2 linked regions of the Arabidopsis thaliana genome follow. Each later gene encodes a partner of the first gene's protein in a complex. Each region holds a gene or a part of one and is shown on either strand. Other genes may lie near its edges.

Region 1 (3,600 bases):
TAGTCGTTAGCGATTCCAAACATTCAAATTGTATTTCCTATTATTATGTATATTTAACATTCAAATTTTGGATCCAGCATTAAAAATTTCAGTTTTAAGTAATGACTCGATTAAGGCATGAATATTAGATTTTCCTTGCATCTGTGATCTCATTGGGAAGGTTTGTTACCAATTGAAGAGGAAGTTTTTGTTAATGGTGACTACTGTTGCTTATGGCATTTGTATTCATTACATGTCATCTTTTTCATGTTGAAGAAGATATTCAGTAGCAAAAAAAAATAACGAGAAATATTTCAAATTAGAAAGTTTTGTAGCATAACAGAGTTGATAGAAGCGAAAACAAGAATCTGTAAAGCCTCCTCTGGTTTTGGGATGAAGAAACTACAGAAACCTGAGAAGAAAAAACTCTCTGCGCTTGGCGATAATGGAACAGTGGTGGAGCTTCTATTTTTGCAGCTGTATTCTCTTGTCCCTGATAGGCAGATCAAGCGGTTTCTGGGCCTCGTGAGGATGGTCAGGGCCTTTGTACACCTTCAGGTGATTGAACAGAGCTCTCCCAAGCTGCCACAAAATGGTCAGACCAAAGTTAAGAGGGAGTTGGAAAACTAGTAATCAATCAATACCAATATCGCAACAAGTAGTTTCCAAGTTCAATCCATAAGTTTGAAGAAACACGGATTTGCTAAGTGTTAAGACTTAAAGGAGACTAATAAAGAGCTGTGGATTATGTATCTAACCCGTCCCTTTGGAAGCATTCCACGAACAGCATGCTCAACGATTCTTTCAGGAATTCTCTGCTGCAATTGATCAAATGTCTCTACTGTCATACCACCAGGTCGTCCTGAATGCCTCCTGTACAGCTTTTGGTTACGCTTCTTTCCAGATACAGCAACTTTCTCAGCATTCACCTTTAACCAAACAATTGAAAACAGTATTAGAGGTACCAAGTTACAAGCATTGCCCAAACATCTACATAGAGGCTCTACATCTTGCTGCTAATGTGAATCTTACTAAAACCAAATCCCAAGGCTCCTCCTTCAGGAAGAAATTAACTAAAGCAGCACATCAAATTTCTTATTCTCTACAGATAGCTCAAAGAAACTCATACCACAATCACAAAAGCTCCCATGTCGACACTAGGAGTGTAAGAGGCAAGATTCTTCCCACGGATGTGATTAGCAATTGTCGATGCCAATCTACCAAGAATTTTGTCAGTTGCATCAACCACAAACCAGGGCTTGTCCGTGTTCACATGGTCTGAAGCTTTTGGATACCATGTCGTGTTCCAGATGTCCTGTAAACCATAGAATACACTCAATAAAGGTTTCAAGCCAAAGACTTTTAACTTCTCTCCAACCAAACATTAATAATTTCATAAAACGTCCAAGTTAACAAATTCAGAAGAATAAACATCAATTTTCGAAGCCAATTGATGCAGACAACACAGCTAATGAGTCAAAGGCAAAATCCACTACTTAATAAATCGCAATTGGGAGAAGAAAAAAACAAGCCATACTTCAAATTCAAAGCAAGAGCTAAAGTGCGACACTTTATAAATGCGTAGATGCTAAACACAGAGGGAGATAGAAAAATTATCGTTACAGGGCCATTAGCTTCTTCTTCGTCGAACATCCATCGTTGATTCGCCGGAACAAGAGAAGTCGTCGTCGTCGGCTCAGCTTCACACTTCACTTGCAATCCTCTTTTCGAATTCGCATAAATGCCGACTCGTACCGACGGCTTCGAGATAGCCGTTAAAGAGAACCCTAAAAACGGAGACTTTCTCTCACTTCCGGAGGATTTCACGGAAGAAGAAGAGAGTATCACCGTCGAAGACGAGCAAAGAACCGCCATTTTTGTTTTTCTCTCTTCTGCAAATTTCTTCTGCTCTTTCCGATTTCTCGGATAAGATTGGGTTCTCAGTAAATAGTAGTAGTGGCAACACCGTAAATAATCTGATGAATACGACCGAAAAATAAACACAACACGGGTTAAGGATCCGGGTTTTTTTCGGAGCTCCGGATTCAACCCGAAATACTGTTTTTTTTTTCTCAATAGGAGAGAAAGGTCTTCTTCGGAAGCAAGCTAAGTCATGGCAACGATTTCGTCAACTCTACTCTTAAATTCTTCTAGATCAGCTTTACCACTAAGATTCCCAAAATTCTCGGGATTTTCTTCTTCCTCTCCATTCGCTAGATCTTACAGATTTGGACGACGTAATCTGGAACCACTTTCCAACGGAATGCTTTCGTCGGGAAGTAGAGCCGACGGTGCTACGGCGGCGGCTGCATCGATGGAAGGAGTGATGACGGAGGCGATGAAACTGATTCAATCGGCGTCACCAACTTGGAAATCAGCTGTGGCTAACAATTTATTGATTTTTGTTCTCGGTTCACCGCTTCTTGTTACCGGATTGTCCGCTTCTGGGATCGCCGCCGCGTTTTTGCTTGGTACTTTAACTTGGAGAGCTTATGGCTCTGCTGGTTTCCTCTTAGTCGCTGCTTACTTCGTCATAGTAAGTGCATTTGTGATCAACCTGAATGTAATTCGGTAACTGACTCTTAGAACGTAGAAATTCGCTGCTTTGATTTTGATTTCGAGCTGATGAATGAAGAATGTCCTTAGATTTTAGATGTGTTATTGTTTAATTTAGGAATTGTGGACGTGTTAGAGATCCTAAATCACGTTTACAGATTAAGGAGCTACTTTTTCTGATCATGCTCAACATTGAGATACTTAGTCTTTTCTCTGCAATGCTTTAAGTTTTAGATTTCAATATCGTGTTTCACCCCAGAGCTGGAAATAGTAACAGTAAATTTGCAATTGATTCTGGCGCTGAAGTTGGTTTAGATGATTTACAATATCACAGGGAACAGCGGCAACGAAGGTTAAAATGACGCAAAAGGAAGCACAAGGTGTGGCCGAAAAGAGAAAGGGTAGAAGAGGACCACGCAGTGTGATTGGTTCAAGTGCTGCTGGTTGTGTCTGTGCTTTTCTTTCAATATATCAAGTGGGAGGAGCAGCTTTTTCCCAGCTTTTCCGGCTTGGTTTTGTTTCCAGTTTCTGCACTAAAGTATCTGACACTGTCTCGAGCGAGATAGGCAAAGCTTATGGAAAAACAACGTGAGTATGCTACTGTTATCCAGCTATAGCCTCTTCTGTTATGGTCTGTGTCTGTTTTCTGTCTGATGTATGGCATGGACTTGTGGTGTCATGACATGAATCCAATCGACAACTGAAATGATCTTACTAACCATTGCCAATTCGCAGGTATTTAGCTACGACATTTAAGATTGTACCAAGAGGAACAGAGGGAGCTATGAGTCTTGAAGGAACATTGGCTGGACTTTTAGCATCATTTTTTCTTGCATCTGTTGGCTGCTTCCTGGGTCAGGTAATAGTGTTATTTGCTACCAAAATTTCCCTTCACAGCTTCTTTATGCTACTAAAGACTGTTATCATTACACGATTTTTAAACTTCTTTTCCTTTTGATATCTTGAACACAGATAACTCCTCCAGAAGCAGCTGTATGTGTACTAGCTTCCCAGATTGCCAATCTTGGAGAGAGCATAATAGGTGCTTCTTTTCAAGACAAAGAA
Region 2 (4,470 bases), on another chromosome or scaffold:
AAAGGAGGCGATGAAAATTACAAAGGATTGATTGCCATCTACGACACACGAAGGACACCTATTGTATCAGCATCACTAGTGTAAGTAACTCTTACTGTTATCCATTCCATCGGACTTGACCTCCTTTTGTATATCTTTGCATTGTCTAAATGGATAGACAAAATCTGATGCTTTTATGATTACAGCGGTTTCATCAGAGGACCTGGAGAAAACCCGAAAGCTCTCTCCTTTTCATTCCATGACAAGTTCAAGCAAGGTCCACTCCTTTCTGTGGTAAGGCATATGCTTGATTAAGTCTCTTTTCATGCCAAAGTATTCATACAGGTAGAATCGGTTAGTTAATTAATCTTCCAAATAAACCTTGTTGCAGTGTTGGAGCACCGGATTCTGTTGCACCTATCCTCTCATCTTCCGCTCACATGTTCTTCCTTAATAGCCAAATGGTTCAAATTTAATGCAAGTTTCAAACTTTTTGGTTCTATTTTGTAGACTGCTCACTCTTTGTATACAAATGGTTTCTTTAAAGAACTCAGCTTTGAAGTTAAATCCAAAAACAATGGTTGCATTTGAAGTACATTAATGGTCTTTGAACACCAAAAAGAACATTACAAAAAACGAATACGAAAAGCAGCAAACAGTTGAGTCACTTAGACATTCTTGTTTTTCTTCATCTTGGAAGGTGGCCATCGACCCTTCTTCCTCATCTTACGCTTACGAACCAGACGTTTCCTGCGTAGCCTAATCTTTTTGGCCAGCTTCATCTTCAGCCTCAATTCCAAGAGCAGTTTCTCTTTAGCTTCTTTCGATTCCAACGGTAGTTTATCCACTGGAACAGCAGCAACAACAGTCTTTGGTTCCTCCTTGCTCTCAGGCTCAGCCCCGTCCACGCCAGAAGCAGCCGCCTTCACCACAATTCTTCCATGGCTAGAGTTCAAGCTGTAAGCACTGAGAGAGACTCTGTTCTTGGACTCGACAGCGTTGGGTTTAAGGCTCAAAACTGAAACACAAAAGATTAGAGCATTACAAGTAAACCAAGTGTTCGATTAAATGCTTCGATCTTTAAGCTTAAAACCTGACTGCCCTAAAACAAAACTTCACTTTTTTGGGACAATCAAGAAATTGAACTAGCCCAGGAGCTTCAATTTGGTTCCATGGGTCTCTATTGTTTTTTTTTTTTTCCCGATACAATTCCACGACAAAACGAAGCAAAAGCGAAATGTCAAGACTAGAAACGAGTGACAAGACATTACCTGGAGAAGCGAAAGACGGAGATTGAAGAAGGCGCGAGGAAGAAGAAGAAGAAAGAGAAGAGAGAGAAGGGAGAGAATTGAAGCAGAGAAGAGCCATCTTCTTCTTCTAATGGAAGAATTTGTCTTCAGACTTTCATTTGATAGTGGATAAGCTTTTTCTCCTTCTCTCTGTCTGTGTCTTCTTAACGAACGGATTGGATTGATCCGGCTCAATCCGGTTTAATTAAATACAGAAATTATCAAACGAACCGGCTTCTTTTTCCTGATTCGGGTTGAATAGATAAACCGGAGTGGGTACTTTTTATAGAACTGTGAGTTGACACGTGGCTGTCCCAGTGTGTGATTGGCGGGAGAAAGGCTAAGTTAAGGTTGTTCCAGAGAATGATGTTGGTTGGTGTTTTGAGCAACTTCCAATGGCGGAGGACAAATCTATGGAGAAAGGGAGAGAGAGAGAAAGAAACAAATCTATCAAACAGAAACCATAATCAGAAGACGAAAGGAGAACAAAATCCGCACAATCGGCGGCACGATTTGGATATCGCCGGTTTCATTCGCTTGGCTGTGAATTGAGGAAACTTGGATATGGAGCTGTAGGACGTGTCTAGCCGCGGATTCTGAGACTGGAAACAAAGCGAATAACATTTCTGAGTTTCATTCCCCGAAGAAAAACGTTATGTCTTCTCAGAATCTTGAACGACAAAGGATCTATCAAGTTTGGCCCGCCAAAAATGTAAGACTTCTGATGATTTGACAGCAAATTTACATTTTTAAAACCGCATTGTGGATTTTTATAGGATTTTAACTTTGGAAGATAAGAATCATGAATGAGGAAAATACCTCAAGATGCTCGGAATTGATTTTGTTACTAATATATGCTCTGCTTCTCTCTGTGCTAAAGTTTGAAGAACATGAGCTTTTAAGATTCTCTCAATGGAAATAGTCTAAGATTTTTATGTGTATTGTTTCACACATGATTTTAGCAAAAGCAAGATCCTAGCTTCTGTCTATATGAAATCATCATCTGAAGTGGAGTTTCTCAATTTGTTTTCGTGTTTCAGAAATTTTACTGTGGGGGAAGACTAGTGTTTGGTCCAGATGCATCGTCACTTCTTTTGACCACATGTATGATAGGAGGGCCAGCTATCGCTTTCTCCATCAGGATGGCTTATTTGATAAGCCATCGTCACCCTTTCTTTCATTCTCTTACTTTGATTGGTGCAATTCTTCTCACATTCATGGTATAACTATAAAGCTTTGCTATTTACTTACTTTCATAAGCCAAGTCATACCTTAAGCCAAATTCATGCATCTTCTTACGTCTTACTTTTTATCTAGGCTTTCACTTTTCTCTTCTTGACATCATCGAGAGACCCCGGGATTATCCCAAGGAACAAACAAGTGTCTGAGGCAGAGATTCCTGATGTTACCACCCAATCGACAGAATGGGTGACTAGCAAATTAGGAAGTGTGAAACTACCTCGAACAAAAGATGTAATGGTGAATGGCTTCACTGTCAAAGTGAAGTTTTGCGATACCTGTCAGCTATATCGTCCTCCTCGTGCCTTTCACTGCTCAATCTGCAATAACTGTGTCCAAAGGTTTGATCATCACTGTCCTTGGGTTGGTCAGTGCATCGCCTTGGTAAGTCTTACTATTAATTCTCACTTCCTAGACAAAGAACTGAGTAAGATCTATGAGTTGATATGTTATCTACGGGCTTTTGTTTTGCAGCGTAACTATCCATTCTTCGTCTGTTTCTTATCATGTTCAACACTCCTCTGCATCTACGTTTTCGTCTTCTCATGGGTCAGCATGCTTAAAGTCCATGGGGAATTCTATGTTGTTCTCGCTGATGACTTAATATTAGGTGTTCTTGGTCTCTACTGCTTTGTTTCCGTTTGGTTTGTTGGTGGACTTACTGTCTTCCACTTCTACCTTATCTGCACCAACCAGGCAAGATTCTTTAGCTTTTAACGTAGTTTCCAAGTAGCTTTTACTGTTGGTCTGATTCTCTTGTTATGTTTTGCAGACGACTTGTGAGAATTTTCGGTACCATTACGACAAGAAGGAAAACCCTTACCGAAAGGGGATCTTAGAGAACTTCAAGGAGCTATTCTTTGCAAAAATTCCACCACCTTTGATCAATTTCAGAGATTGGTCGCCAGAAGAAGAAGACGATGTGGAGGTTGGATCCATAGCCTCTGAGCTAGTCAGAGCCTTTGGTCCAAAAGACACGAAAATGAGCAGTGGAAAGTCTGATTCCGAAGCTAGAGAACGGTAACAACGGTGGCACGGCTGTCAAGAGATAAGTATGGATGAAGACGCCACAACGACTGCTTTGGTCTACCAAGAACCAGCGGAAAACAAGGAGAAGCTCGAGCGTGGAAGTGAGATCAAGATAGGCCAAAGTAAAGGACAAACAGGTGTAAAATCTACTTTTGTAATTCAAAGCCATGTAGCTCTCTTTCTCTCTTTACTCGTCAAGATGAGTTTTAAACTTTTTCCCATTAAGAATAGGAATTAGGAGAATTGGTGTACATAAATAATCGTTTCTTGCGTTACAGGTAATTCAATTTGGTGTTTATTATTGTCTCCATCTTTCTTTTTAGGGTTCATATAATGTATAGTGTTTCTTAGGTCTTACGGTAAGGGGTTTATAAGAAAAGAAGAAAAATTTGCCAATAGAGAAAACAAAGAGACAGAGGGATGTGAAGAGATGATGATGATTCGTTGATATGTTTAATATTCTATTTCTATATATAAAAAAGCTCAAAATACTTTACCAATTGAGCAAAAGCTATATACATATATAACAATAATATCTCATCTTATTTTTGTGAGATCTTTAATCAAATTGACTTCTTCTTCTTCTTTTTTTTTGCTGAAAGCATTCATAGAACAAACTAATTACAAAAATAATCGAAGAAGTGAAGCATTTATAAAAGGAAAAGAAGAAAGAAGATGAAGAAAAACACAAATGATGGAAAAAATCTAGGTGTGAAGCACGTTTGATTGAGAGATGATTTGACTTGGCTTCACCAGCTCATTGTTGCATCATTCTATTTATCTAATAATATTTATAGATATAGTTGGCCGACCAATGAAATAACAATATTTTTAAGTAATAAAAATCTAAGTTAAACAAGAAATTATTCCTTCTTAGTTCGAACAGACATCCTCCTATTAGCGTAATCACTTGTCCTAATTACATACATTGTCC

Evidence for each region. The genes of interacting proteins can lie anywhere in the genome.
Region 2: emb1473 (region 1) and PSRP5 share a complex: the UniProt entries of both Arabidopsis thaliana proteins name them as parts of the 50S ribosomal subunit.

The regions. Positions count from the first base shown.
Region 1 is NC_003070.9:29,574,251-29,577,850, reverse strand, and holds the start of emb1473 (Ribosomal protein L13 family protein), read right to left. Parts: upstream 2,046-3,600; 5' UTR 1,855-2,045; coding exon 1,603-1,854; intron 1,295-1,602; coding exon 1,109-1,294; intron 909-1,108; coding exon 738-908; intron 562-737; coding exon 445-561; 3' UTR 1-444. Other genes in the region: AT1G78620 (integral membrane protein (Protein of unknown function DUF92, transmembrane)), read left to right, coding at 2,093-2,542, 2,870-3,123, 3,271-3,394, 3,508-3,600.
Region 2 is NC_003074.8:21,068,911-21,073,380, forward strand, and holds PSRP5 (plastid-specific 50S ribosomal protein 5), read right to left. Parts: upstream 1,447-4,470; 5' UTR 1,348-1,446; coding exon 1,251-1,347; intron 998-1,250; coding exon 648-997; 3' UTR 501-647; downstream 1-500. Other genes in the region: AT3G56900 (Transducin/WD40 repeat-like superfamily protein), read left to right, coding at 1-80, 186-273, 371-433; AT3G56920 (DHHC-type zinc finger family protein), read left to right, coding at 1,924-1,980, 2,309-2,488, 2,586-2,891, 2,982-3,203, 3,280-3,531.